7 linked regions of the Coturnix japonica genome follow. The protein of the gene in region 1 binds, or shares a complex with, the protein of each later gene. Links are inferred from orthologs where the notes say so. Each region holds a gene or a part of one and is shown on either strand. Other genes may lie near its edges. The genes, in order: MED19, MED23, MED13, MED18, MED26, MED13L and MED31.

Region 1 (3,743 bases):
TGATCTCTGTCCCTCCCTGGAAGAGGATGAGGGTGGGCAGCTGCTTGGTGAGGGGCGAGGTGCTCACCTTGTACCTGCAGGAGTAAGGCAAGAGGCAGACAATGACATCAAGGCACTTGGAAGGCCTGGTACCTTCCTCTACCCTCTCGGCCCCACAGACCTGGTGCTGACATCCGTGTATCGGCCAACATCCACCTTCCCAAAGTGCAGCCCCGAGCAGTTGTACCTGGGAGACAGAACACAGCTCTGAGTGAGCACTGGGCTGGGACCGACTCAGCAAGGCCTCAAAAGCAGGCAGCACTCACTTGAGAGAGAGGTCAGCGAAGATGGGGGCAAAGGACTGGCACTCACTGGACCAGTTGGCGAAGAACTCGACGATCCAGGTCACCCGCTTGTCTCGTTCCAGCTCCTCCTGCCACGCGAGTCAACAGGGGATGGTAGGCAGGGAGCCCGGCACCCCACGCCAACTCACACTGGGTAGGAGATACTCACATCTATGGTCTTATCGTTGAAGTACTTGATATACTCAGGTCCCATGTAAAGGGGTGGCTTGCAGGTCATCAGGAACACTGCAATAACAGCATCCCTGAGCCCAGCGCCCACCTGGAGCGAGGCCTCTGCCCCCTTTTTTCCACTTCTGGAATGCCCAAGAGACACAGGCTTAGTCTGAGGGAGGCTCCTCCTTCCCCAGAGCAGCCTGTATGGCTACAAAGACAGCAGCAGCACAAGGCAAGATGGCTCCAGCCCCATTTGAGGAAGGCAATGCACAGGATGGGCAGAGACAAGGCCTGACAGGAGCACTGTTACAGCCCCTGCATTACGGATCCCCCCCCACTTCCCCACGTGTCTCACCGATGCAGAGCGTGAGGTAGAGCAGGCCCATGCGGATGTCAAGACGGAAGAAGAGGATGGCGTTGGCCACTTTGCTGAACATGAAGATGTTCCCAATGTGCTGCTCCACAGTGACTGGGAAGGAGGGAAGAAATCAGAGATGGGGCCACGTCTCTTTTCACTCTCATCCCTCAACTGTTTCCAGTACAGAGACACCCCATCAGCAGCTTATACTCAACCCAGCACTGCCCCAACTCACTGGAGCGCCGGTTCTTCATCATGACGATGGCGCTGAGGAACATGAGGATCTCCACCTCCCGCTGCACAGGAGAGAAACGCAGTGAGCACCGTGACAGCCACAGCCACAGCCACAGCCACAGCCACAGCCAGCACCTCGGGCACAACCGAGCAGCCCTGCAGCACAACCACAAGGCCAAGCAGCCATTCCAGGCCGCTCCAGCCTTCATCCTCCGCCTGCCCTCGATCAGGAGCCGGGGCTGCGCACAGAGGGGCCGCCTCGGCTGCACCCAGCGCCGGTGATACCCGAGTAGGCCACGGCACAGGCCGGCCCGGTGCTGCCGCTCACCCAGTCGAAGTCGCAGGGGTTGCCGTCCTCCCGCTGTGAGGGCAGCCCGCGGCACAGCGGCGGGACCTTGCGGACGAGCAGGAATGCGGTGGCGAGCAGCGCGGACAGCGGGTAGTAGGGCCGGGCCAGCCAGCGGCACAGCCCCGGCACCGAGTACAGCAGCGCCAGCAGCGGGGCCAGCACCGCCATCTTGTCCTCCGGCCGCCCGCCGCGCTCCCATTGGCCGGAGCTGCACGTACGTCCGCGAGGGGCGGGGCGGCCCCGCGCGGGGCAGGGCGGGAAGATGGAGAACTTCTCGGCGCTGTTCGGCGGGGCCGAGCCGCCTCCCGCCGCCGCCGCCGCCGCGCTGGGCTTCGGGCCCAACAAGGGGCCGGGAGCGGGGGCCGCTCCGCCTCCAGCAGCCGCCGTGCCGCCGCCGGGAGACGACGCGGCGCGCAAGGCCGCCACCGGCCCCTTCTACCTGCTGCGGGAGCTGCCGGGTGCGGGCCGGGCCGCGGGGGAGGGGGGGGGGGCGCGGGGCCAATGAGCGGGCGGGACGCGCGGAGTGACGGCTCGTCGGGCCAATGGGCGCGGGCGGTCCGGCGAGGGGCGGGGCGCTGAGGGTGCCGGTCCGTCCGCAGGCGGCACGGAGCTGACGGGCAGCAGCAACCTGATCACACACTACAGCCTGGAGCACGCGTACAACAAGTTCTGCGGCAAGAAGGTGAAGGAGAAGCTCAGCAACTTCCTGCCCGACCTGCCCGGCATGATCGACCTGCCCGGCTCACACGACAACAGCAGCCTGCGCTCCCTCATCGAGAAGCCGCCCATCTGCGGCAGCTCCTTCACGCCGCTCACCGGCACCATGCTGACCGGGTTCCGACTGCACGCCGGCCCGGTGAGCACCCGGGGGAGGAAGGGGGGATGGGGGTAAGGAGGGGGTCCGCTGACATGAGCCCCTGCAGCTGCCGGAGCAGTGCCGCCTCATGCACATCCAGCCGCCCAAGAAGAAGAACAAGCACAAGCACAAGCAGAGCCGCACGCAGGACCCTGTGCCCCCAGGTAGGACCGTGCCCTGCTAACTCTGCACCCCATGTGTCCTGGTAACTCTGTGCCCCGCTCACCCCTCCTCTGCTTCCTGCAGAAACCCCCTCGGACTCAGACCACAAGAAAAAGAAGAAGAAGAAAGAGGAGGATCCGGAGCGCAAAAGGAAGAAGAAGGAGAAAAAGAAAAAGAAGGTAGGTTAGGAGGCAGCGTGCTGCTCTGCTCTGCCTGCACCAGCCCCGTGCCAGGCCGCGGCAGCACCACACGTTAGGCCTCCAGCAGGGCTTGGCACTGGGTTTCACAAGGCCTCACGCCTGTCCTTCTTCTGCAGAACCGACACAGCCCCGAGCACCCCGGGGTGGGCAGCTCGCAGGCCAGCAGCAGCAGCAGCTTGCGGTGAGGCTGCGCTGTGCTGCTCTATGGAGCTCCCTGCCCCAGCTGTGGACTCGTCCCATCACAGAGCACAGCGGGGAGGTGTGGGCACTCATGGTCCCCGCTTGCAGAGAACGTGGCCTTGCAACCCCCCTGCTTGCACTGTGTGGCTGATGGGGACCTGGTGACGCGGACGCTGCTGGAATGGGGGCTCCTACCACACCTAAGCAACGTGGTGCATTGGGATCTCACTTTTTTATTCACCTTTTAATTAAAGTCTGCTCTGAGGAAGAGCTGGTGCCAGTGGCGGCTCTGACTGTTGGCCAGCGGGGCAGGGCAAGGAGCAGAGGCCTTGTGCCTGTCCCATCATACTCCAGGCCTTGCAGCTCTCTGGGCTGTGAGAGAAGGCTCAGGAGGACACAAGTGACCCCAGTTCAGCACCATGTCCCCCAGGGCTGCCCCTGTGGGGGCTCCTACAGAAGAGCCAGAGCCTCACTGAGTCCTGGGACATGTTCCAACCCTGACAGCTCCACTTACCTGCACTGAGAGCGCTGTGCCCCAAAGTGCCCTAAGGAAGCACATCCCAGCTGTGAGGGCGCAGGCACTGGCAGCCCTGTAAGGCTGGGCCCGGCTCTCCTTGTCCCCTTCCTTTCCACTCCAGACGAGGGAGGGAAAGCTGAGAAGTGAAGGACAGGATCCTTCACGGACTCCTCCATCCCTGGACACCGCACAAAGCACACGCATGCCCGCTGAGGTGACTCATTAAATATCCTTTTATTCCTCGTTTTTAAAATGGCTAATCATAATAATAAAAAAAAAAACAAAAAACCAATGGCATGGCTCTGCGGAGGCCACAGGAGAGATATTGCCATAGAGAAAGAGTCAAGTAGTGCGTGAAGTTGCGTGGGCCCGGTGCGGGGTGGGCTCCCC
Region 2 (4,584 bases), on another chromosome or scaffold:
ACGGAGAACATTTACCACTTACCATCACAGGGAAAACAGACTCAGCATAGGTAGATTAATATAATTTATTGCCTATTGGTAACAGAGCAGAGCAGTGAGAACTAAAAACAAACTAAGAAGACCCCTTCCATCCACCCTCATCTACCTCCTGGCACTGAGTGGTGCAGGGGGATGGGAATGGAGGCTGCAGTCACTCCACAACACTTTGTCTCTGCTGCTCCTTCATGGTCACTCTGCCTCTGCTCCAACATGGGATCCCTTCCACAGGATGTAATCCTTCCTCAGCTAACCCCATGTGGGTTTCCCACAGACTGCTGTTCCTCAAGCACTGCCTCAATCACAGCCCTCCTGTCCCACCAAGGGCTGCTTCAACACAAGCCCTGTTCCTGTGGAGTTCCCTTTGGGCTATGCTTCCTTCAGGACTCCTTCCAGCCTGGAGCAACCTTGGATACCATAAACTGGTCTATCATGAAACTCTCTATAACTTAAATTGGAATGATAGAAAGCTACCATTCTTTATTATAATCAAGTCTGGATGCATGGGTGTTGAGCTCCACCACCATTTTGTGCATACCTTGCACAAAAGATATTCAGTTCATTTACATTACTTGTGTTACATACCCAGAGGTTTTCCCAGAGGCATATACATATTCAATACTTGCTTTCACAATGGATTCCAAGCAGAACTTCCTTATCTACTTAGTACAAAGACTTAACAGAACTCTATCTGTTTGGTACAAAAACACAGACTCTTCCTGTTGTCTAAACAAATGACAGGGTTATCCATCAAGAGACTTACCAAGCTTAATGATATCATTACAGCTTGCACCAGCTCCTGTCCTCCTGCACCAACGCAGGGGGCTGCTGGGCTGTTTCTCTCACATTTCTCACTCACATTGCCCAGTACAGATGCTTTCTCTTTTCTTTAGTTCGTTTTCCCAATGGGACACACAGTGTTGCTTGTGGCTGAGTTCTGCCCAGCATCAGGTCTCTGTTGGAGCAGCTGGAGCTGGTTCTCATCTGATGCGAGGCAGTGCTGGTCCCTGCTCACAGAGGCCATCTCTGCAGTTCCTACTGCCTTGGCACACAAACCCAATACAATGAGAGTTAATTCATGATCTCAGTCACTGTTGGGACGTCTTATGGAGTTCAAAACTACCTTGTAACCCAATTTTAATGATAAAAATGGGCTTGGTACATCTTAGGGCATGCTGAAGACATGGCTGAAAACTGCTGTTATCCTGTGAGCTAACAGATAGGGTCCTCACGCTATAAAATGCACTTGACAACCTCTTCAGGCCTCCATTTCCCATCCTATGATGGGAATGGATTTTGAGTTTGACAAAAAATTGCGGTAGGTAATTCTCTTCAGTGCTACCATTTAGTAAATAGACCAGCCAATCTGCCCACTGTGAGCAAGAGCTGCTCCTACACGTTACAGAATCACGCAGAATCACAGAATGACCCGGGTTGGAAGGGACCTCAAGGATCACGTAGTTCCAACCCCCCTGCCTGGCAGGGCCACCAAACATACACCTTTACTAGATCAGGTTGCCCAGGGCCCCGTCCAACCTGGTCTTGAACACCTCCAAGGATGGGGCATCCGTCGTTCGACTGATAGAACTAACAGCAGCCTCGGCACAGGGATGCAGTGCTGACCCTCCATACCAGCACCCAACACATACACGCACTGCTGTACGCGCAGGCGCTGCGCTCACCCCGCTCCGCCGGAACTCCGTGACAGCCGGGGGGAGGGAACTTCCGTCGGGAAGGGAGTCCTGCCGCTCCGTGTCCATCTAACGGAGGGCCCGGTGAGGCCCGGCCGGGGCTATGGTGCCTATGGAAACGCAGCTGCAGAGCATCTTCGAAGAGGTGGTGGTGAGTGTGTCCCGGCCGGGCCGCGGCCTTTCTAGGCTGCTCAGCCGGCATCCCGCAGTGGGCCCTGTGCTCTAGGGGAGCTGCTTCCTGAGGCCCGCGGTTGGGGGCGAGCGGCGGAGGAGGTAAAGAAAGGGAGAAGGGGTTGGGGTATCGCCATGGCTGCGTGGTGCGGGGAGAGGCCGGCGCTGGGAAGGCTGCCCTCATCCTCGGCTGTGTGCGGTGGGACCGCGGAGTGCGGTGCGGAAACGATTCCTCAGAGCAAAAATTCCTTCTCTGAGCGGTTCTGTAAGGCGTTTGAGGCTGGTGCTGAATTAGGGGCAGCTTGCAAGGAGAAAGAATCCATCTGCATAGTGGAAGGGGAAGAAGATGAGCTTAGAAGAAGGAAAAGATAAGCAGAACTATGAGTTAATTAGCAAGGCAACTCTGTTGGCAGTTTCTTAGTAGATTTAGGTAGCTCGTGGATATTAGTGAGTGTTGTGGCTAGAAATACTGGGATGATATTTGATGAGGATGTTCAGAACAGGAGCTTGATTGATGTCAGGTGGAACCAGCAGTATCTGGTCTGGAAGGGATGCGTATGTCTCCTAGAGCAATGCAACTGAAAATCACAGAGTGAATGGTTTGGGCTGGAAGGGACCTTTAAGATCATCTGCTTCCAGCCAGTTCCTGCTGAAGACAGGAACACCTCTCTCTAGACTAGGTTGCTCAAAGCCCCATCCAGCCTGGCATTGAAAGCTTTCAGGGAGGGGGCATCAACAGCCTCACAGGGCAACCTGTTCCAGTGTTACCATTCTCACAGTAAGGAATTTATTCCTAATATCTATTCTAAATCTACTCACCTCCAGTTTTCTCCCCTTGTCCTGTTGCTGTCTGCCTTTGTAAAAAGTCCCTCCCCAGCTGATGTGAAAATGGTTGGAACACTGAGTTTTTCTTTCTGTGTGTGAATTATAAAATGCAAATGCAATATATGCTTTTCTTTAAGTGATGTTAAGCTTATGGAATGCTTTTTGTCCATACTTGATGATTTGTTTGTTTTGTTCTTGACATTGTCATTTTGTTCTTGACATGTTATTGTCACACAGGCTTTATGAGGAGCGGCTGAGAGAGCTGGGATTGTTCAGCCTGGAGAAGAGGAGGCTCAGGGGAGACCTTATTGCTCTCTATAACTTCCTGAAGGGAGGTTGTAGTGAGCTTGGGGTCAGCCTTTTCTCTCATGTAGACAGTGATAGAACTAGAGGCAATGGTTCCAAGCTGCGGCAGGGGGAGATTCAGGCTGGACATTAGGAAGTATTACTTCTCGGAAAGGGTAGTCAGGCATTGGAATGCACTGCCCAGGGAGTTGGTGGAGTCACCGACCATGGGAGTGTTCAAGAAACGTTTGGATGTTGTGTTGAGTGATATGATTTAACTGGGAAGTATTGGTGATGGTTGGACTGGATGATCTTTTAGGTCTTTTCCAACCCTGAGAATTCTGTGATTCTGTGTTCTGTTTTTGCATGTTTAACACCATGATTTGACTGTGTGGTCACTGCCTTTCTTTTTTTTTAGCAGTATTTTTTTTGCCTGCAGTTGTTAAGGGACAACAAAGTCTTAAGCTTTCCTTGCATTTGCAGCTGAGAAAATATCAAGTTGTCACATTCACTGCTTCTATTACTGACTGAATGGACAGCAGTGAAACTTAAGTTTCCGTGCACAGTGGATGAATATCATGTTCTCTTGAGGTGTTTCCAGGCCTTGCAATTTGAAAGGATCACCATAATTTCTTTATTTTTCAAACACTGTTTATTTCTTCCATGTAATGATGGAAACACATAGTGGTTACCGATCACATCTGAGTGTAGTATGAAATTTCTATAGAAAGCAAAACAATCTGTAGGGTACTATTTTCAGGAATTTTGCCTATGCATTAGGATAATGCTGTAGAAACTTAATCTCTAAGTGTGAAAGAAGAGCTCAAGTTGCAGAACTGAACAATTTTTCCAACCTTGGGACATAAAATAATCTCTGGGTGTTTATAGGGAGGGGAACAGAGGAGCCTTAACCTGGATCCTCAAAGCAAGCAGCCTCAATGTTGAGACCTGAGCGTAACAGAAGAAACGCACCTGCTTCTGATTCAGTCCTGAAACAGTAGGATTGTTTTTCTTCAGTGTTGTTGCATCCTGGTAGTGAGACAGTCATAGAGAGCCTTTTCAGTCATACAGAGGAGCTATGAGATATGGTTTAGTGGCTTGTGGTAGCAAGGGCAATGGGAGGACAGTTGGACTAGATGATCTCGTAGGTCCTTTCCAACCTTGTGATTCTGTGATTCACAGTAACTCACTTTAGGTTTTTCTCTTGCAGAAAACTGAGGTAATAGAAGAAGCTTTTCCTGGGTGAGTGTAAATGTTAGTTTACTTTCGTGACTTTCTGTGTATATTTCTATTTGTGCTCTTCCTTTGCTGTAGTGCTAATAACCAACTTTCTTATTTGAATTAGTATGTTTATGGACACTCCTGAAGATGAGAGAACCAAACTGATCAGCTGCCTGGGTGCTTTTAGGCAGTTCTGGAGCAGTCTTTCCCAGGTTAACATTTCATTTGCTTCTTCAGTATACTTTATATACTTTTGGGGGGCGGTGGAGGGGAAGATCGGGGTATAGTAAAACTTTGAGTAAAGGACAAATCCTTCATGTATAAGGTCTTTTTCCAGTCATTCAAAATGTTACAG
Region 3 (2,791 bases), on another chromosome or scaffold:
TGAGAAACGCTATTTTGGCAGGGGAATTAATTGTTTGTTTTGTACAAAACTAAGGAAATGTTTTTCTTCCAAAGATTCTGTATCTACCGGCTCTGTGTTCGGACGCAGCACCACTTTAAACATGCAGACATCTCAGCTGAACACCCCACAGGACACATCGTGCACTCACATACTTGTGTTTCCCACATCTGCTTCTGTGCAAGTGGCATCGTCAACTTATACCACTGAGAACCTGGATCTGGCCTTCAACACAAACAATGGTGAGCAGATTGGATTTATTCCTGTTTCAAAAACAAACCAACCCGAAACCCTTCATTGCTCCCCCTGTAGCAGGAATAAGACTTTATTCTACTAAACCACAGCATTTATATGGCAAATCACTTAATTTCTACTGCTTCCCTACTTATGGGAACAGCACATTCTGAAATCACGTGTTGTTGTTCTTTTTCAAGATGGAGCAGATGGAATGGGCATCTTTGACTTGTTAGACACTGGAGACGATCTTGATCCCGATATTATAAATATACTTCCTGCATCCCCTACTGGATCCCCTGTACATTCTCCAGGGTCCCACTACCCCCATGGAGGTGATATGGGCAAGGTAACTGATAGAGTAAATATAGAGGGGTGTGTATGTGTTCGTGTATATGTGTGTGTGGTTGTTTGCTCTCTGACATCTGGTTATTTCCTTTCTGGAATGAAAGGTTCCTATGAACTATTTTGAATTAATCAGATATTGGATTGCCACTGTAAAATCCATGTAATGCTCGGATCCTTCAAAAACGCTTTGTAATTTTAAAGCTGTGGGTAATTTCTTGTATCTTTGTGGTCTCCTAATAGTAAACCATTGCCTGTTAATTTTTTTATAGGGTCAAGGTACAGATCGATTGCTTTCAACGGAATCTCACGATGAAGTAACAAATATACTGCAACAGCCACTGGCCCTTGGTTATTTTGTGTCAACTGCCAAAGCAGGTCCCTTGCCTGACTGGTTCTGGTCAGCGTGTCCTCAAGCACAAAATCAGTGTCCCTTGTTTCTTAAGGTACCGTACCTCCAGTGGGGCTGCACTGGCATTTTTATTGAACAGAGGATTTATTTACCCTGAGCACCTTCAGTATGTAATAGTCTGACCTTATGGGGACAGCAGTGAACTTTAAAGCCTGTTTATTATTAGAAATCTTGTCACTGGAGTTTGCCTCCTTTTTTAATCATCATTTAATGTAGGCACAGAAGTAGTTTTAAAACAGTTTCCTTAGGTGTATTGCACTGTTAGCATTGTGCTTTTAGGAGAAAGGATTCCTGCACTTATGAGCTGCATAAGGATAAGCTTTATTTAACTCATGTGTTAGAGAACTAAGTGAAGTGGCTGCGATATTTGGGTCAGCGGAACAAGGGGAAGGAAGTTGCAGTTGAATCAGACGCTGACTGCTCACATCTCTCCTCCTTCCTCAGGCCTCTTTGCACCTCCACGTGCCTTCAGTGCAATCAGACGAGCTACTCCACAGTAAACACTCCCATCCACTTGATTCTAATCAAACTTCTGATGTGCTCAGGTATTTATGATCTATTGCTTGCAAAAACAGCTGTGCATTTCTTTTTTTAATACTACTGCAGGGGATCTGGAGGTTTGTTTTCCTTGCCATTAGTTTTCTCATTGTGTCACTGCCCTTCATACATAGCAAACAAAACACATTGCTGTGCACTGAGGGATGAAAAGACTTCCTCACCACAAGACGCTGCGGTTTAATACAAATATCTGAACTCTGATTTAACTAATTAAGATTGATTACAACTAAAAATATTTGAAAAAAACGTGAAATTCATTAAAAAATAGTGCATAAATGGGAGGAGGGTGGTTAGACTTGAGCCAGAATCTCATGTAAGCTGTGGGAATACTGAAGTCCAAGGGCATGCAGGTAGTTGTGTACACATAAGACACTTGTTAATGAGAAAGCAGCGTCATGGTTGTGTTAGTATTCACATATATATGTTCACATTCATATATATGTTCACATTAGTATGTGAATCTCTTAGCATTAATTATCATTGTCAACTAGGATTGGGTTAATTATTGATTAGATTTGATTAGATTATTGCTTAAAATACTACAGTATTTTCTACTGAAGTTCAGCTTTAATCTGCTCGCAACGATTCTATAGTTGTGTTACTGCAAAACATTGGCAGACCTGTTTTATGTGCTGAATACCACAGCAACCATGTTACGTTAAGCCGGTGCTGTAAAATGCTGCTGAGGAAAATCTGTTGGCTTGATGGAAGCTTGTTTGCTTTTCAGGTTTGTTCTGGAACAGTACAATGCACTCTCCTGGCTAACCTGTGATCCTGCAACCCAGGACAGACGGTCATGTCTCCCGATTCATTTTGTGGTGCTGAATCAGTTGTATAACTTTATCATGAATATGCTGTGATCTTCACCTGAATTTTGCAAGACAAAAATGAGGAAAAAGGATATTTCACTGCAGGACTAAGTTATGATTCTTCTCAGTGCGAGTTGTTTGTGATGGGGTATGAATCTTGTTACTTCCAGCAAATATTGGTTTGACTTGTGAGAGGGGGTACTTATCACCTGCTGTCTTGGAGTCGTTGACTATGGGGGATGCTTTAGAATGATGATCAGAAAGTGTATTATAACATTTTTAGTAGCAAAATTAACCATTTTTCCCCGGTCACAGTATTTGTGAAGAGTAATGAGCCATAGTACCCAGTCACAGTTAATGAATATTAAAGGCATGGAGATGAGAAGAAACGTGAGGAACAATGAGTTTCAACCTA
Region 4 (4,136 bases), on another chromosome or scaffold:
GATGGCAAACCTAATTGTTTTCCATGAATTCCCAGTTTTGATTTTGCTGAAATGTTAAAGTTAGATCTTACGCTTTGAGACAGTTGTTATCAACTCACGTTAGCACCATAGAAACCCCTGTCTACTTATAGTACTTAATTTTCTGCAGCTAAGCAACATTTAGTGTTTATCTTCACAATTTAGACTATTACTTAAAGAAGAACTTGTGACCTGCAGAGTGCTGAACTGTTGATCTATAGTTTGTGCTGAAGTAGGAAAAAACAACAGTGTCTTAACTGTTCTGTCATTTAGTTCAGGTTCAAAAAAAAAAACCCAACGATTTTAATACTGATTTCTTGTCAGACAGCTTGTTAATTCAAACAGACGCGGTTTCCTGTACGTTTTGGATAGGAGTGCTGCATTCAAACAAGAATCAGTAACAGATGTTTACATTTCTTTTAAAAGAAGTCTCTCAAGGCACGGTGTGTTGGCATATTACAAACTATCTTTTGTTCTCGGTGTTTGACACTTATTCCCCAGGAAGAGGTGTGAATCTACTGCTTACACTGAGATAAATGAAGTCAGAAAATCACACTGTTCTGTAATACTACAGGGTTGGGGTTGTTTTGTTTTTTGTTTTATTTTATTTTTTGCTTTAATTCCTTTTAAACTTTTTTGAGGGGGAATATTTATTTTAAGATTTTTTTTTTTTAATGGAATGTACTAATTAAGGGAATTCAGTGAAATGTCATGTTAATGCAACAGATTTTGTATTAAAATTCTGTACTTGGACCAGTGAAGCAGTCTCAGGTGTTCTTAATGTAATATAGAAAACACAGGCGTGTTCTGGTTTGATTCACCTTCTGGAAGGTTGCTGTCAGCATCACCCTGTCCAGCTGATCATGGGAGGAGAACTGTTCATGTGCTTGATGATCTTCTTAGGGGGCAGAGGTGGTGGCAGATCAGTGGTTTGGCCTAGATGTGTTCGCTACAGGAATGTGGTGGAGCTTTTAAACGGGTGTCTAGCAGAGGTGCTCTTTAAAATTCAGCTTCAATGTAAGTCATATGGGTTGTCTTGTAGTGCATCACCAAATCAACATTATTGTAATGAGCTCACAAAGCTGCTGTGCAAGCATGAAGACGTACTACATGCTAGATATGCTACGACAGCATGCAAATACCATGGATGCACATCTTCCTGGAGTATTGTTAATAGCTGTCACTTTATTTGAGGAAGATCTACTTTATTTCTGTGTTCACTCAGTGAGCTTATTTAAAGTAACGCTGTACTGACAATAAACAGTGGCTCAACGTTCATTATGATGGATTTAACTGGCTGTAGAATTAACATTTTGTATTATGACTAAGTCGTGTACATTTTGGTACAGAACTTCTTTTTCAGTTTGAGTAAAATAATCCTAGATTTACTGGCTTAATTGTGATACTTTCAGATTACCTCATGATGCAGTGAAATAACCTAGCAAACAAAAGGTTAAGGAAAACTGTCCAGCATACAGTGCAGTATTAAAGACTGAAGTGGGTCTGTGATACCAGCACTTCTCACCTGGTATTGCAGAAGCCGTTACATTAAAAAAATCCCTTTACAAGTACATCAAAGTAAGAGGAGAACCAAGGAAAATGCCCAACCTTTACTTGATGCAGCGGGGAACGTGATCACTGAGGAGAAGGCTGGGATTCTCTGAGGAGGAGAAGGCTGAGTTCCTCGATGCCTTCTTTACATCTGCCTTTAAGGGGCAGTGCTGTGTGCTTGGGGATGAATAACTGGATGTCTGTGAGGAGGAAAGGGAGCTGGTCGATGTTCGGCTGCTCCTCACCGCCAGGCCGCACTGTGGCGCCCGCCTCCTCCTTCAGGCCTTGCCTTTCTTCCCGCCGCCATCTTTACCACAGCCGCCAAGATGGAGGCGCCTCCCGTCACCATGATGCCCGTTACGGGCGGCACTATTAACATGATGGAGTACCTGCTGCAAGGTATGGCCGGCACACAGGGGCTGTACACGGGGCTCGGCCGCAGCGTGGGGCCGAGGCGGGCGGCGAAGGGGAGGTACCTCCCCGCGGAGGCCCCTTCGCCGCCTGCCTCGGCCCCGCGCTGCGGCGGGGAAGGGGCCATCGTCTGAGCCGTGTGTGTCCACCACAGGGAGCGTCCTGGACCAGAGCCTGGAGAGCCTGCTGCACCGCCTGCGTGGGCTGTGCGACAACATGGAGCCGGAGACCTTCCTGGACCACGAGATGGTGTTCCTGCTCAAGGGGCAGCAGGCCAGCCCCTTCGTGCTGCGTGCCCGGCGATCCATGGATAAAAGCGGCATGCCATGGCACCTGAGGTACCTGGGGCAGCCGGAGATCGGAGATAAAAACCGACACGCTTTAGTGCGAAATTGTGTGGACATCGCCACCTCGGACAACCTGACGGATTTCCTGGTGGAGATGGGGTTCCGTATGGATCACGAGTTCGTGGCTAAGGGACACGTGTTCCGAAAGGGGATCATGAAGATTGTGGTGTATAAGATCTTCCGTATCTTGATGCCTGGTAACACGGACAGCATCGAGCCGCTTTCCCTCTCCTACCTTGTAGAGCTTAATGTTGTGGCACCAGCCGGACAGGATATGGTTTCTGATGATATGAGGAACTTTGCAGAGCAGCTGAAGCCTTTAGTACACCTGGAAAAAATTGACCCTAAGAGGTTAATGTGATGAAAACTGGCTTGACTATCATAGCATTGCTGTAGCCAGAAGTGAGTGCAGGGACTGGTTGGAGTCCTATGCACACAGAACTTTTGTTCAGGGCTCCACTGCTTCCTCTCTGTGCTGGAGCAGTAAGCAGTATTAAGGTGCAACACTTATAAATAGAGATATTGACTTTATGTTGTTGGGGAGCAAGGGGTAAAAGGCTTTGATGTATTGGTTTTGTTTTTGTTTGATGCTCAGCCAGCATTTGGTATTTGGTTATGCAGGTTACATATATGCATAAGAGCAGAATGTATGTAATTCCCAGAGATGGAAGAGAATAAAAGTCTGTTTAGTGCATTATTCATTGGATAGTCGGTCCCTGATGTCTGAAAGGAGTAGTTGCAGGAATTGCTTAGTTTTAGATTTGAAAGACCTGAAAGATTCCCTCCTAGCAAATCCAGACTGGGAGCTGTTTGTTATTGGAAGCAGCTTTGTTGTTAGTGTAGAACAGGAAGCTCTGGGTCTGCAATTATAACCTGGGGGGAAGAAACAGAATTAAGACCCTTCACAGCCAATATGTTGGCTCAGAAAGTTGAGCCCAGTGCCCCCGAATGTGCCTGTAGAGAGTCAGGTGGATGGGGCCAGGCTTTGACTGTTGTTGCCCAGTGTTGGGACACAGGAAGGTCCATCTCAAAGTGAGGAATTACTGCTTCATTTGGGGGTGACGTGGAGCAGGCTGCACAGAGAGGCTCCTTCCTGCTTACAGCCACTTCCATCAGCCCAGCACGATGCATTAGTTTCACAAAAGCAAGGTCAGGCATCCCACTATTTCTGTGTTTTTGTGCTCTTTGTATGTTTTATTAAAAATATATCTTCAAAAATACCCGTCAGCTATTTGCATTAATTTTGTATTTTCTTTGCAATTCTTTTTCACTCAATACAAGCCAGTATTTTGGGCAAACATGAAGTAGTCTTCATTTCTCAAGATCATTATGGAAACGTACAACCACGCTGCCTTTTACTAAAACACACCAATTGCTGTCAGTCGCTGTCATGCTTTAACAGCACGAATGTTGCTGTATCTCCAGCACTCCTCAGCCCTGGGTCTCCATTCTCCCCACACACTCTCCCCTAATGTTGTTATTTCTGTACAAATGAACACAGAAGCTGAAGTACAACTTTGGAAGCACTCTATATTGTCTAACATGCTTCTGATATGCGAGTGCAGGGTGAGACGTTTCACACATCAACAGCTTATGTGGATATTCCAGCTTTCACTTCAGCAACCTCGGTAACACAGTCAAGCTGCTTTCTGCTAAGTGCTTTACATACACTGTAGTGTATGTGTATGAAGCGGCATACAGCTTCAGACACAACCCAAGGGCTGGGTACGGCAGAAGATACTGAAATAAGTCTCCTTAAACACTAGAAAGAACAACAAAACAGGGTTTTTTTTTTTCTTCATAATTTTT
Region 5 (4,504 bases), on another chromosome or scaffold:
ACCGGGCCGGCTCCGTGTCTGCATTCAGCACACGGCCGGCTTCGAGCCGACTCGGACGGGACCGAAAGCGACGCGTCAAAAACGGCGCGGGGTGAGAGCGCCGGGAGCGGCCACGTGAAGCTGCGGGGCGGCACGGACGGATCCCGGTCCGTGTAACGTGGGGCCGGAGTCGCGTTCCCTCCGCCCCGCCCCGCTCTGCCCCTTCCGGCCCTCACACCGCTCCGGTCGCCCCCCGGCTGTCGGGCGCTCCGTCCATAAGGCCGCATTCACCCTCGGAGCTGCCTCGCGCTGCCAACGTGGGGGCTGGAGTGGGACGGGGCCGCTTCAACCGCAGCCGGCGGCGGATGGCGGCATTTCGGGCTCACGGAGCCGCGGCGCCGCGCTCCCCTCCCCCGCCCGCGCTCCTCCAGCCCCGCGGGTGACCCCGCCGCCGGGCGCACGCGCGCCGTGAGGCCGACTGCGCACGCGCGGCCGCCCCCCCTCCCGTCACGGAGCCCGCCGCGCACGCGCTCTGGGCGCCCGGCGGTGCGTGCGGAGGGACGTCAGGGGCGCGCCGTGCGTAACGGCGTCGGGCGTGTCCCATGGTGCCCTGCGCGGGGCTGGCTCCTGCCCACAGTTGAGTTCGGCCCCGAGCGGAGCAGTCGGGCCCGGCCCGGTCGCGCCGTCGCGGTTCTTCCGCGCCCCGCTCCGAGCGCCGCCGCCCCCCGCTCGGCGGGGAGCGAACATGCGACTCCGGCTCCCCGAGGAGGCCGCCGCCGCCGCCGGCGAGTGAGGAGCCGCCGCCCCGGCCCGGCCCGGCCCCGCCGCCCGCCCGCCCCGGCCGCAGCCGCCCCGCTTCGCCCAGGCAATGACAGCGGCTCCGGCCCCCTCCCCGCAGCAGATCAGGGACCGGCTGCTGCAGGCCATCGACCCGCAGAGCAACGTGAGTACGGCCCGCCGGGCCCGGGGCTCCCGACCGGCGGCGCGGGGACGCCGAGCTCCGGCCGCTCTCCGGCCCCGCCGCCGCCTCCCGCTGTGGGAACGAACGAACGCCGTGGGGCCGCGCGGCCGCCGCCGCCGCTTCTCCTCCTGCCGGGACCGCGGCGCGCCGCGCTCCTCCCCGGGCACCGGAAGCCTCCGCTGCGGGCGGTAGCGGCAGCTCCCGGCTCCGTGCTCGCCCACGGTCCCGTTCCCGGCGGCGCTTTTCCGCGCGCTCCCTCCGTGGAGCTCGGGGGTCTCTCCCCGTTTCCCCTCCGGCCGCGCTCTCCCTCCGCCCCGCGCCGTCTCCCGTCACTCCCGGCGCCGTCCGGCTGTGCCCGGCCATGCGGCGCGCGGCCCGGCGGCCTCCCCACGCCAGGCCGCGGCTCGGGTGCGGCCTGCAGGGGGCTCTGGGCCGGGCTGCGGACTCTCGCAGGGCGCCCACCTGTTCCGCGGCCCCTCCGCCGCCTCCCGCCGCAGACGCCGGGCCCGGGGCCGTCCCCGCGTTCTGGGGGCGCCCGGAGGGCTTCGAAGGTGGATCCGGGGCACTGGAGCGGCTCCGGCAGCGGGCAGCCTCGGTCTTCGCTTTTATCCTTCCCTGCAGAGCGCTAATGAGCTTATCTGCTCCTTCTGGGATGTAGAGTAAGCACGGGAGTCGACGTAGATTTTACCAGTAAGTGGTCTTCATGTGTAAGTCGTGGTAATCCAAAGTGTTATTTACTCCTTTTAAGGTTTTTTTTGGCATAGTAAAGCAGCTCTTCACATCCACGTTTACTACGGTGAGAGGACTGTGGGGTCTGCGGTCTGTCAGATTTATTCGATCTGAAATCCACATTTGCCATGGCAGTGCACAGAGCTGTGCTGCTCCCAGCTGTCTGTCGCAGGGCAGTCAGGGTGAGTCAGGCTGCAGCGTGCTGTGCTGTGCCAGGAGTGCACGAGATGGGCTCCGAGGTTCATTGGAGCTGTGCCTGCTTCTCTCTGAGCAAATCTCTCCCATAACAGACAGGTGTTGTGTTCTCCGAGTGGCTGATGAACTTACTGCTGTTTGGAAGCATCATGTAGCGCCATGCAAGTGATGTGAAAACTGAAAGATAAACCACTTTGTAATAGCCTGTTGTGATAAGCATTTGTCATGAGCTGCAGTATTACCAGCTTGAGTAACAGTAATGAATGATAAGGGTGATGGTGGGCTTTCAAGTCTCAGTTGTTGGAGTCTGTGGTCCTTTAACTTGGTAGATACGGAAACAATCTTTCCTGAGTTCTGTTTGCTCTGGGACTTGTGGCTGTGGGATTTTGGTTTTACCTTACACTCAGCATCAAGCTGGTTAAATACAGTTCTAATGGAGCAGTGGTTTCTTGTCACTTCAGACCTGCTGATGCTGGTTGCTCTGTTTCTGGGGTTACTTTCTAAAACGTTGTAGCTGTGTAGAGTTAAGAATTATGTTTTGTGATGAATGTGCTTCTTCCATGTGCGATGTCAGGTTGTGCTGTGGTGGTGGTATGGAGCAGGAGCTCTGCTGGGCAGGTCTGAGCATCAGGCAGCGCTCTGTGGGCCTGCAGCAGGTCAGTAGCCCCATAAGCTTAGAAGCAATGTATGTTAAATTATAATTCTACATACTTGATACTTATCCAGGGCAATAATTAGCGGTGGAAAAATCAGCCCATTGTTCAGAAATGCCTGTAGGCAGGGGGCTGTCTTCTATTTTAACCTCTTCTTCGAATGAGAACAGAAGTGGTGGAGTTGAGGTTCATCATACAGACTTGGACTTTTTTTTCCCAGCACATAGTAAGCAATAGATGGACAGGCAGAACTGCTGTGCTGTTTTAGTGAAAGGGAGAAAAATATGAGTTTTGAACGTTCTTAAAAGCAGATTGTGACTTAAATCTGACTTGATCTCCAATGTTGAAGTACAAGAGAGGCTGCTCTGTTGTCTCCCCACAGGAAGCAGTTGTGCAGCTCTGAGCTGCAGCACTTCTTGGTGCACAGGGAGAGTTGTGGCTCTTTTCTTCTGGCTTCTGGAGACTTTTCTTGAAAGAAGTGGTTGCATTCAAACTTAAAGCATTCATTATTGTGATTGACTTCCTTGTTTACTAAGAAAAAAGCTTTGAGGCCTGGATTTCTTTTGGACTTTTTGATGTGATTGTCGGTGCGGGTACGTGTGTGTCCCTGGAGAGGAGGGAGGGTGAAAACTGCACCAGATCTACCCAGCATGTGGCACAAGGATCAGTTTGGTGGGGCTGTGGAGGGGAGGTGGTTCTCATCACGCTTTGCTGTGGGGTGCTGTCAACTTCAGCTTTGCTGATATCTTCCCCAACACAACCCGCTTTCCCCTTGTGGATATTCAATCCAGTGGGACTGTGGAGGTCTTTGTGGTATGAGCAAATCTTGGATAAGTGTGAGGTCCTCTCAGAGAAGATCCTTCCTGTGGTGAGTTAAACAAGATGGCTCTTCCCCAGGTTGTTGGAACCCATGTGCTTTCAGAAGCTGTTCACTATTCTGATCATCTGTTTTAACCTCTGCTTGAAGCTCTGCTGACTTGGAGCGCTGCTTATATTGTACACACATTTAGCACTTGAGACCTCTTCTAGTATTTGCTGCAGAATGTTTTGATAACTTATTTTCACACACTTGGATCACTATTTATGTGATAAAGCTCTGTTTCAAAGGAGACCTGTAAGAAATAAGCTATTTAAAAAAAAAATTACATCATATTGGAAGCCACACGGGATGTCTGCTGTTACATCTCCATTTATTCAGCCTTTTCCCCTTGCAAAAACATATGGACAAACTACTTCTGCTCCATGACTTACACCCCATTTACCAGCATGGGGTCATTGGGAATGGACCCAGTCCTGTATTGGAGCAGGGAGTTGGGTGTTGTACCCCCAGCAGGGCAGTGTGATGTTCCTGCAGGGAAATCCTCCTCCTGGGAGGACTTTTTGGACAGCACAGCTGGGGAAGCGTCCGATGGGCTCTTGGAGCGGGCTTTTAGGGGAAAGGGCTCCCTGGTTCTGGTAGAAGCAGCACTTTTCTCTTTGGGCTCACTGTGCTGAGCAGAACCCCTCTGCTGGGTGAAGGCGCTCCAATGGGGCATCAGGAGTCTCATTGCCTGGTGGCAGGAATGGTGTGAGCTGTTCGCTTTTGCTCTGTGGGAAAGACTGTTAGAACTGTTCTCACAATTGCACAGGGTCCTCATCCCAAATATGTAGCAGCCTTTGTGTTTTGAATATTAGACAATAATTTAATTATTTACCATTAATAGCACTTGAAGGTGTGAGCCCAGCTCTGGTTTGAGGTCACCACCCCTCAGATGCTCACTGTATGGGTTGGGCTGCCTGCAGTCCAGGCTGCCGTGCACACTGAGCTCCATGGCTTTGCTGCTCGGCCTCTGGGAGATGTCTGCAGGCCAGAACATTAATGATGAATCCGTCTATGTGCTGTGCTATGTTACCTAGTGTTGGGTGATCTTCCAGTCTCATGGTTAGTGATGTTTCCACAGCTGTTTTCTGGGTTGGTTGGTTTACCAAAGTTCAGGCATAAAAGTGA
Region 6 (3,885 bases), on another chromosome or scaffold:
GATGTATATCCTGACAGGCTGCAGCCCAAAGTTTGACGAAATTGCTAGTAAAGCCTTTTAAAGTTGCTTAACTCCTGTCTCTTAGTAACTGTTTTGTCACTATGCAAGAACATGAGTAACTAATACTACAAAATACAGTATATAAATAAATGATACAAATAGGAAAGCGGGACATCTGTTTCTTTTTTTCCTATACTTCATCTGCTTGGTAGTATAAATATAAAACATAGTTTCTTCTGTCCAGGTTATTCTTATATCAAGGATATGCACCCAAGGGTATCTTATATACTTGGGTGCATAACACATCCTTCCCCAAACATTCCCTTCAGGATGTTTGTCAGTTCAAACTGGTATTCCCAGGAATGGGAAAATTCTGTCAGGCTATGTAAACTTGGTGAGGCTGTATCGCCACAGTCAGTACTGCTCTCCTCTGTGTGCCCACCAGAAGCTGTTCAGATTCATAGCCAGAGTCCATTACCTCTAAGAGACCCTGTAGCAGCCACCTCCCCATAAGCTCAACACAGCGTAGGATCTTAACTTGCCGTTTGGTTGCCCAAGCGTAAGGGAAAAAGGAAAGCACAAAGATTCACAGATGACTGGAGGATAGCTCATTAATAGCAAGACAGAACTGTATCCAAGACTGATTAGTAAGCAAAACATAAGTTATTGGAGGGAGATGTAATGACGTAAAGTGACAAATGTGCCTTCAATTCTTATTTCAGAGCCAAGGGGAACGTCTCCTTTCCAGAGAAGCCCCTGAAGAATTGAAGCAGCAGCCTCTTGCTCTCGGATACTTCGTGTCGACTGCCAAAGCTGAGAATCTTCCGCAGTGGTTCTGGTCATCCTGTCCTCAGGCACAAAACCAGTGTCCTCTCTTCCTGAAGGTCTGTCTTGCTGATCTTTCTCAGTGGAAAGGGGGGAAGAATTGTATTTAGATCCTACACAATTCCTTTGAAAATGACAGCTTTGTGTTGCTTCTTCTGACAGTTGGAAATAATGAAGAAATACATTTCCAGATATAAATTCACTGAAGACAGCTGGCTATTAGCATTTACTCTCTATTACCTGAAAATTGAATAGTTTGGCAGCTTCTAAATACAAAATCATCAATGCTGTATCCAGTCTTCCCCAATTTTAATTTCCTAAATTTCAGTTAGCCCACGACAGGAGACGCATTACCTCCTATTCTGCCATATCATATCATAATACAGAGATGAAAAGGTTAGAGAGCAGCACTCCCACACAGAGCTTTTGCTATGTGTTCCTATTCCTGTAGATGTAAAAAGTTGCATGGCGTTGTCTGTAGTATCAGAGTTTATCTGGTATTTGCCAATGCAGAAGACTGCTGTTTCTTGCAAGAGGTACTGGTATATTGCTTGCAATAGCTGAACTGGATCAAATACTACAGATTCATTCACCACTGTAGAGTGACATGCTGTTTTTTACTGGGATGTTGTCAGCTAGTGAGCGTGGAAAAAAGGTGAAAAATCTGCCTTGGATAGAGTCATGTGGATACTCGAGCAAGCAAAATAGAAAGTAATTAAGATAGTAACATTTTATTTATCCATTCTCAGCTTAATTGACACATACAAAGCATTTCGTGAAGTCTCTTAGCTAAATTCTCTCAAACATGTATATCAGGCAGTCATCAGAGTAAAGGTGTATAATATTTCTCAATTCTTATGCCAGAAAGCCATTTTAGGACTGATAATTTGAGAATGATTGTTGCAGTTGGTGTGGCAGGCTTTATGTTCATTTCAGCATCTGTTGGCAAAGTACTGCAGTACTCAGTTAAATGAGATCACCTACCAAGTTCCCCACGTTTTCATAGAGGCTTCCCAGAATTATGTGCTTCACTCCAAACCTGTGGAATAGAGATCTCAAACTAATGTGAAAAATAAGGCACTGTATTTTTGGACCTAGAGATGAAGTTTTATCCTAAACTTAAAACTACCTTTCTTTGTGAATGAGTAATAATACAAAAGCTGTGTTTCAGTTCCAGCTTTAAAAACACAGCAGAGCTCTAGGCAACTCCATGAATTCCTTCTGTAAGCCTATGCTAGATTTATACTGGAGAGAAGGAGCCACCACCCTTCCCCCTTAACCCAACGCAATTGCTTTCTCAGATCCAAGCTGAATTAAATGTTTAATTTGACTTGGAATGTACTGTTACGGTTTGGACAATTTTTAATAAAAGCAAGGGGCTGAATTCGTGCAGTAACTTGTAAGTGCTCAGAGAGCAGCTGGTGCTGTCTCCTTTGTGCTGCATGGCGCTGCAGTTAGGAAACCTGCACAACACGTGAGACGTAAAGATTTAAGTCATCTCTGTCTGATTTGGATTAAGTCTTTTTGAGCTGAAGCATTCCACCTCTGAGGTGCATGCTGCAACTGGCAGAGCACAAACTCAAGGTCTTGCCCCAGCAGGCCATGTGGTCTATTGAGTTACCCACTTGAAAGGCTTACATGGTTGCCTCTACCCCTGGCACATGATCAATATGAAATCGCTTTTCTGTTCCTGTGTAAACCAAGGCACAAACCTCACTCCAGAAACAAAGACTGATTGCTATTCAGAAGGCACGGTAGCAGAGAGCAAGAGGAAGGCTGTGCTGTGTTCTGGTTGGATATCTCAGTCCGTGGTGGGTCTGGTTCTCCGTGGTGGGTCTACTAAATGGGAGAGTTTGAAGAATTAAAATCCTATATTGCTGAAATGCAAAAAGAAACACTGACATACTCCAAGTGTTTTCCCTCATCACTTCTTCCCTGACTGAAATTAAGAGTGGAATTCAGGATGCTTTTTAAAGGTCCTTAATTCCAATCAGAAAAAGCAGTCATTTTATTCAAAAGTGTAATCGTTATGGAACTTCAAAATGCACTTGGTCCTGGTGGGTTCCACAGAGAACTGCCAGCTGTCCTGAGACAATTCAGGGCGTATTTGTTCACTGTGAATCTTCATACTTGCTATGCAAAGAGTTAAATGGTTCTTTTTTGTTTCGTTTGATTTTACTTTCACAGGCCTCGTTGCATCATCACATCTCCATAGCACAGACAGATGAACTACTACCTGCCAGAAGTTCTCAGCGAGTTCCTCACCCCCTTGACTCTAAAACTACATCAGATGTCTTGAGGTAATGCCTTCTCACTTTTTGCATTTCATCTCTTGACTTATGGGGACTCAGGAATGAAATTTCAGAGGGACCTTTTTTTATGCTTATCAACAGTTTACACCTCTATTATATCCTACACGTGTTTTTTAATAAACAAAATTACATATTACATATACCACAGATCCTATGATCACAACAAAAGAACAGAGCTTTGAGGGTTACTTCTTCACTTTTCTATCCTACTCTGCAAAGCAATGAAGAGGAATAATTTGTGCCTTACAAAGAGAGTGCCTTGGTTTGCCTCCCAAAGATGATTTGTTTTAGCTGAAAGTCTGAGCTGGCCTGTGTAAATAATTATTTTTAGTCACCAAATCAAACTGAGTTATCAAAGGAGGTAGAAGTTCTCTCCTGATACCCTCTATCTTAGGAGATGTAGTATAAATGAGACACTTCCTGAATCAACACAGCACTGTTATCTGTCCCAGTGCAGAAGATTAGTAGAAGACTATTTGCCTCCATGTCACCTGTTGGGCACTGAAAAAAAACTTTTATGGGACAGCATATGAGGTCAAACACACCAGTGCACAAATGTGTACATTGCTACCACACAGAGAATATCAATAGGAAATATGAACTACTACTTAACTCAAGTAGATGATACTATGCAGTATTCTAGATCTGAATTTGCATCCTCTTGAATAAAAAGGTGATGCTTTTGGAGGTGCACAAGGAAAGAATGAGGTGCAACAAACTCAGATTAGAACATAAAGAATTCTAGTCA
Region 7 (4,341 bases), on another chromosome or scaffold:
GATTTTATTGTCTAGAATTACTACTGCAGCAAAGTGTCCCTTTTTGGAGTGTAATTTTAAACTCTGAATAGCTTTATTTGCTTTGGGTAGAAAACCTTATCTGATCTGTTTGTTAGCTAGTGGCTGTTTTATATCTAGATCTACTATGAGCATGCTCTCAAAATGCATTAGGAAAACAAGGGTTCAGCACCAGTGCTCAAACAGAGAATAGGGTTAGCAGTTCAGCTCCTATAAAAAGTGAAACTGAGGCAGTGATGTTATGATTTGATGATGATAAAAAGGAAAATTCTTGGCTCAAACACACAGCTTAATACCTCTTCCCTGAAAGTCTGACTAAGCTAATATTTAAAAGCATAAATAAATCCAGCTTTTCCTAGAGAATGTTCTTAGTTTTTGTAATATGACTCCAACTTTCAATTTTGTTCCTAGTTTTGATGGCCAAGAATTGCGTTCTTGCACTTTACTCTGGCAAACCTACGTAGTAATTTAATTCATGTGACCAAGCCTTTCTTAGGATTCTCTCCTCTGAAGTCAGTCTTGGGAGATACATCGTGTTCCAGAATAGCACTGCCAATGCGTGGGATATGTTTGATCTCTGCTTTTAGACAAAAGTCTGTATTTACTGGGGAGTGACCTGCTAATTCTGTTATAGTAATGGTAGTACTCCACAACCACTAAAACCTTGGGGAAAAAAGAAACAAAACACAAAATTATTTTATTAAGGAAAGCAATGCAGAAGTCTTTTTTTAGGTGGTCTTATAGCCTAATTTCTATTGGGGCTGGAGGGGAACAGTTACACTACATAGAAAGAGATAGCACTACAGGAAAATGCTGAGACACTGAAAATAGTTTAACAAATCACAAATTTTAAAAAAGAATTAGGATTCGTGTTGAGCCTGTATAGTGCAAACTGTTACACAAGTGCCTAATAATGCAATCATAGCAGCAATGGAACTCAGGTAGCTTGACAGTGCTAAACCCCACCAGTCTTTGTTTTAACCAAGATATGAACATCCAGTGTGTGACCCCAGACATGAATGCAGCATTAGGAATAAATCTGCAACCTAAGTGCTGAACTCTTCTCCAGGTGCAATAGCATAGTGCTGTTCTGCACCCCTGGCGCATCTGTTTAACTGGTTTCACTACGACATAACTTCTTAATAAATAAACTGCAGAGGTTGTGTGAGATCAGCTCAGCATGAGCTGCCAGGGGGAAAGGGGAAAGGGAACGGGAAAGGGGAAAAGGGAAAAAGGGAAAGGGAAAAGGGAAAAAGGAAAAGGGGAAAGGGAAGAAAGAAAAGCACACACATGCCTAGGAAAAAATCCATCCCAGAACATTGCTCCTACAGGTACCTTCCAATCGTACTGCCTGTCTGGTAACAGCTCTCTTTCAAGACAAGGGGAAAAAAAGTTGCTCCAACTTTAGTTTATTTCAAAAGGTCATTTTCTACACAACTCGCATCATTAACGCAGCTCCTCACCACCACAGACCTTCCCATCTTGCCTCGTTGCGCCTCCCGCCTAACTCCCGCCTGCCGACAGCGGGCGCTCCCGCCGCCATTTTGAGGCCGGGCGGGGAGCGGAGCCCAGCACGCCGCCATGGACGCAGGTGAGCGGCGCGGTGCGGTGCGGTTCGGGCAGGGCGAGCGACTCCGGGCCACGGAGAGCGTCGGTGGTCCTGCCGTGCAGAGTTCGGGCGGTTCGGGAGCGATGGGCCGACAGGCTCCGAATCGTTTTCCTCGGGAGGGGCCCGGGGCGGTCCTGCTGCGCTGCCCTCCCGGCTTGGCCCTTCTCAGGCCGTTGGCCCCGTTGGGGCCCTTCGCGACGTTCATGGAGACACCGCGGCTCTTACCTGCCCGGACGCCATGGCAGCGGACATCCCACGTTGCATCTGTGGTCGAGGAGCTGAATCTTTTATAGACCCCGAGTGTTTGGATGGAGGGGACTTTATTTACAGATCGGACCTCCCGCCAGAGCGGCCTGCGCGGTGCCCCTTCCAGCCTTCCCTTGTGCAGCTCCAGGGATGGGGCCCCCACAGAGAGGGGCGGCCCGTGCCGGGGCCTCACCGCCCCTCGGAGAAGAATTTCTTCCTAACATCTAACCTGAGTTTCCTATTGTTTGAGTTTAAAGCTGTTCCTTCTTGTTCTGTTGTTTTCAGTCAGGGTGGAAAGTCAACATATTTTTCTATAAGCTCCCTTTCCACGCTGAAAGACCAGAGTGAGATCTCCCTGAGCCTTCTCCAGGCTGAGCAAGCCCAGCTCCCTCACCCTTTTGTCATAGGACAGCAGAATCTTGTGCTGACCCCTGGGTCTGTCATCAGTGCCTACTGTACACCAATAGTGTGAGAACACTGCAGGATTCTCACTAAACTGAGACATCTCTGTACAAAACAAACAAAACAAAAAGCAGCCTCACGGTAAGCATTTCTTAAATTATGTGCAAGGAGGCTTTCAGTGAGCTGCTGGTAGTGTTCTTTTCTTGCCTTCTTATATTTTCCTTGCACTAAAAGCAGGCCCCTTTCCCTTCCCTTTTCATATATTCTACATAAAGTGTCAGAGAGCATTTCTCCATTATTTGCATCGTTTTTAGTTGTTAAAAAAACAAACAAACAATAGTACATGTATTAACATGGGCCCAACACTTATTCATGTAATAGAAAAGACTGCTAGATGAGCCCATACTTGTGGGCTCTTGGTGCTTTATCTCCTCTCTAAACGTTTCTATTTTTGTGGCTCAAGTTGAGAAACTTACTTTTAAATCTGCCATGTAAGTCCAGTTTTTACTGTTTTTTTTTTTTCTCTTGTATTCAGATGATACAGGAAATCGACTTAGGTTCCAGTTGGAGTTGGAGTTTGTTCAGTGCCTAGCAAATCCCAATTACCTCAACTGTGAGTACTTAATGTCAGGGATCCTGAGAAGTTAATGTTATTTAACAGTTTAATGATTACGTGTAATGGTAAACTGTGTGTGTGTGTGTGTGTGTGTGTGTGTGTGCAGAGGCGAAGGGTAAACAAAGAAAAGGGAAGAGATCTTTAAGGAAAAAAGTAGTCTGAGGATAATTTAATTTGTCCGAATTTCAAAGGTGAGGTAGAAGAGGGAGGAGATGACACCTTTAAAATGTGAAATGATTATTTCTTGAAATAAAACACAACTGTCTGGTGGAGAATAAGTGCACATCTGTAGTAGAAAATAAATAATAATAATTACATTTCAATCTTAGAAGTACTCATATCTGAAACCAACATTTCACTAATGCTTATAATAGTTTCAGGTGGAATTCTTAATTTCTTTGGTTTTCCCTGACAGTTTTGATGTCAGAAGTTCCTATTTTTGAAGACATCGCATCCTTGTTGCTGTATAAAAGTTATATGCTAACTCACTATGCTTAACTTGTATTAGAGTGTTGACTTAAGATATATTTTTCCCTTTGTGTTTTTTTTTTATTGAGTTGTAAAAAATTCCTTGTCTCTTATTTCAGTTCTTGCACAAAGAGGATACTTCAAAGACAAAGCTTTTGTAAACTATCTTAAATATTTACTGTATTGGAAAGAACCTGAATATGCAAAATACTTGAAGTAAGTATTAAAAGCCCTCAGGTTTCTGCATTTTAATGATTTTTACCTTCTCTTATGCACTGTAAAGTAGCATGTGCATATTTGATTTCTCCCTGCAGCCAAAACATGCACTGTGTTTATATGCAGTATAAATTTTCCTGTTTCCTGTAGTCTGGGATAGGCACAATTAAAGAACGTTTCATTCTTGACATATGCATGGAATTTTCCATTTGCAACCTTTATCTGCACCTTCTATCTGCATAAAGCAAGATTACTGAACATCACGGGACAAAACTACTTCAGCCCATTAAGAACATTCTGAGAGTGATTTTTGCCCTGTTGATAGCTACACAAAGAATCGTTTTTTTTCATTTTTTTAATTAATGTTTAAACTCAGTTATTGAAATTTTTTTTGTTTACTTCAAATGAGCTCTGGAAAGAGCTATTTAATTAATTAGTTTTTGTTTTAATGAAATCTAGTATTTATAAAAGTTATTTTAATCAGCTCCGTGTATGTATTTATATTGTTATTGGATTCCCTGTTTTCTAGCCTTGTAGTTACTGAAGGTATTAAGTTACAGTGTATGGAAAAGGTACAGCGCTCACTGTTTCAGGTACTTGAGTAAGGCACTAAATGACTAAAATAATGGAGAGATACTGGAGACTCCAGTTCTAGTGCACCTTGTAAATTGTGTTTTTTTTAAATCCAGGTATCCTCAGTGTTTGCATATGTTAGAGCTGCTCCAGTATGAGCACTTTCGCAAAGAACTGGTAAATGCTCAGTGTG

Evidence for each region.
Region 2: MED19 (region 1) and MED23 share a complex: the UniProt entries of both Homo sapiens proteins name them as parts of the mediator complex. The link is inferred for Coturnix japonica from reciprocal best matches to the Homo sapiens genes MED19 and MED23.
Region 3: MED19 (region 1) and MED13 share a complex: the UniProt entries of both Homo sapiens proteins name them as parts of the mediator complex. The link is inferred for Coturnix japonica from reciprocal best matches to the Homo sapiens genes MED19 and MED13.
Region 4: MED19 (region 1) and MED18 share a complex: the UniProt entries of both Homo sapiens proteins name them as parts of the mediator complex. The link is inferred for Coturnix japonica from reciprocal best matches to the Homo sapiens genes MED19 and MED18.
Region 5: MED19 (region 1) and MED26 share a complex: the UniProt entries of both Homo sapiens proteins name them as parts of the mediator complex. The link is inferred for Coturnix japonica from reciprocal best matches to the Homo sapiens genes MED19 and MED26.
Region 6: MED19 (region 1) and MED13L share a complex: the UniProt entries of both Homo sapiens proteins name them as parts of the mediator complex. The link is inferred for Coturnix japonica from reciprocal best matches to the Homo sapiens genes MED19 and MED13L.
Region 7: MED19 (region 1) and MED31 share a complex: the UniProt entries of both Homo sapiens proteins name them as parts of the mediator complex. The link is inferred for Coturnix japonica from reciprocal best matches to the Homo sapiens genes MED19 and MED31.

The regions. Positions count from the first base shown.
Region 1 is NC_029520.1:7,805,432-7,809,174, reverse strand, and holds MED19 (mediator of RNA polymerase II transcription subunit 19), read left to right. Parts: upstream 1-1,677; 5' UTR 1,678-1,700; coding exon 1,701-1,896; intron 1,897-2,037; coding exon 2,038-2,294; intron 2,295-2,361; coding exon 2,362-2,458; intron 2,459-2,540; coding exon 2,541-2,635; intron 2,636-2,772; coding exon 2,773-2,841; 3' UTR 2,842-3,106; downstream 3,107-3,743. Other genes in the region: TMX2 (thioredoxin-related transmembrane protein 2), read right to left, coding at 1-74, 161-226, 306-412, 493-569, 853-966, 1,091-1,151, 1,418-1,606. UniProt on the Homo sapiens protein: Component of the Mediator complex, a coactivator involved in the regulated transcription of nearly all RNA polymerase II-dependent genes.
Region 2 is NC_029518.1:51,917,347-51,921,930, forward strand, and holds the start of MED23 (mediator of RNA polymerase II transcription subunit 23), read left to right. Parts: upstream 1-1,733; 5' UTR 1,734-1,830; coding exon 1,831-1,878; intron 1,879-4,218; coding exon 4,219-4,250; intron 4,251-4,353; coding exon 4,354-4,441; intron 4,442-4,584. UniProt on the Homo sapiens protein: Required for transcriptional activation subsequent to the assembly of the pre-initiation complex. Component of the Mediator complex, a coactivator involved in the regulated transcription of nearly all RNA polymerase II-dependent genes.
Region 3 is NC_029534.1:6,215,039-6,217,829, forward strand, and holds part of MED13 (mediator of RNA polymerase II transcription subunit 13), read left to right. Parts: intron 1-74; coding exon 75-260; intron 261-452; coding exon 453-601; intron 602-869; coding exon 870-1,043; intron 1,044-1,453; coding exon 1,454-1,554; intron 1,555-2,294; coding exon 2,295-2,427; 3' UTR 2,428-2,791. UniProt on the Homo sapiens protein: Component of the Mediator complex, a coactivator involved in the regulated transcription of nearly all RNA polymerase II-dependent genes.
Region 4 is NC_029547.1:21,930,374-21,934,509, reverse strand, and holds MED18 (mediator of RNA polymerase II transcription subunit 18), read left to right. Parts: upstream 1-1,782; 5' UTR 1,783-1,895; coding exon 1,896-1,968; intron 1,969-2,134; coding exon 2,135-2,688; 3' UTR 2,689-3,547; downstream 3,548-4,136. UniProt on the Homo sapiens protein: Component of the Mediator complex, a coactivator involved in the regulated transcription of nearly all RNA polymerase II-dependent genes.
Region 5 is NC_029543.1:3,344,740-3,349,243, forward strand, and holds the start of MED26 (mediator of RNA polymerase II transcription subunit 26), read left to right. Parts: upstream 1-1,668; 5' UTR 1,669-2,397; coding exon 2,398-2,520; intron 2,521-4,504. UniProt on the Homo sapiens protein: Component of the Mediator complex, a coactivator involved in the regulated transcription of nearly all RNA polymerase II-dependent genes.
Region 6 is NC_029530.1:10,495,379-10,499,263, forward strand, and holds part of MED13L (mediator of RNA polymerase II transcription subunit 13-like), read left to right. Parts: intron 1-722; coding exon 723-884; intron 885-3,012; coding exon 3,013-3,125; intron 3,126-3,885. UniProt on the Homo sapiens protein: Component of the Mediator complex, a coactivator involved in the regulated transcription of nearly all RNA polymerase II-dependent genes.
Region 7 is NC_029534.1:8,576,354-8,580,694, forward strand, and holds the start of MED31 (mediator of RNA polymerase II transcription subunit 31), read left to right. Parts: upstream 1-1,438; 5' UTR 1,439-1,599; coding exon 1,600-1,609; intron 1,610-2,810; coding exon 2,811-2,888; intron 2,889-3,478; coding exon 3,479-3,575; intron 3,576-4,264; coding exon 4,265-4,341. UniProt on the Homo sapiens protein: Component of the Mediator complex, a coactivator involved in the regulated transcription of nearly all RNA polymerase II-dependent genes.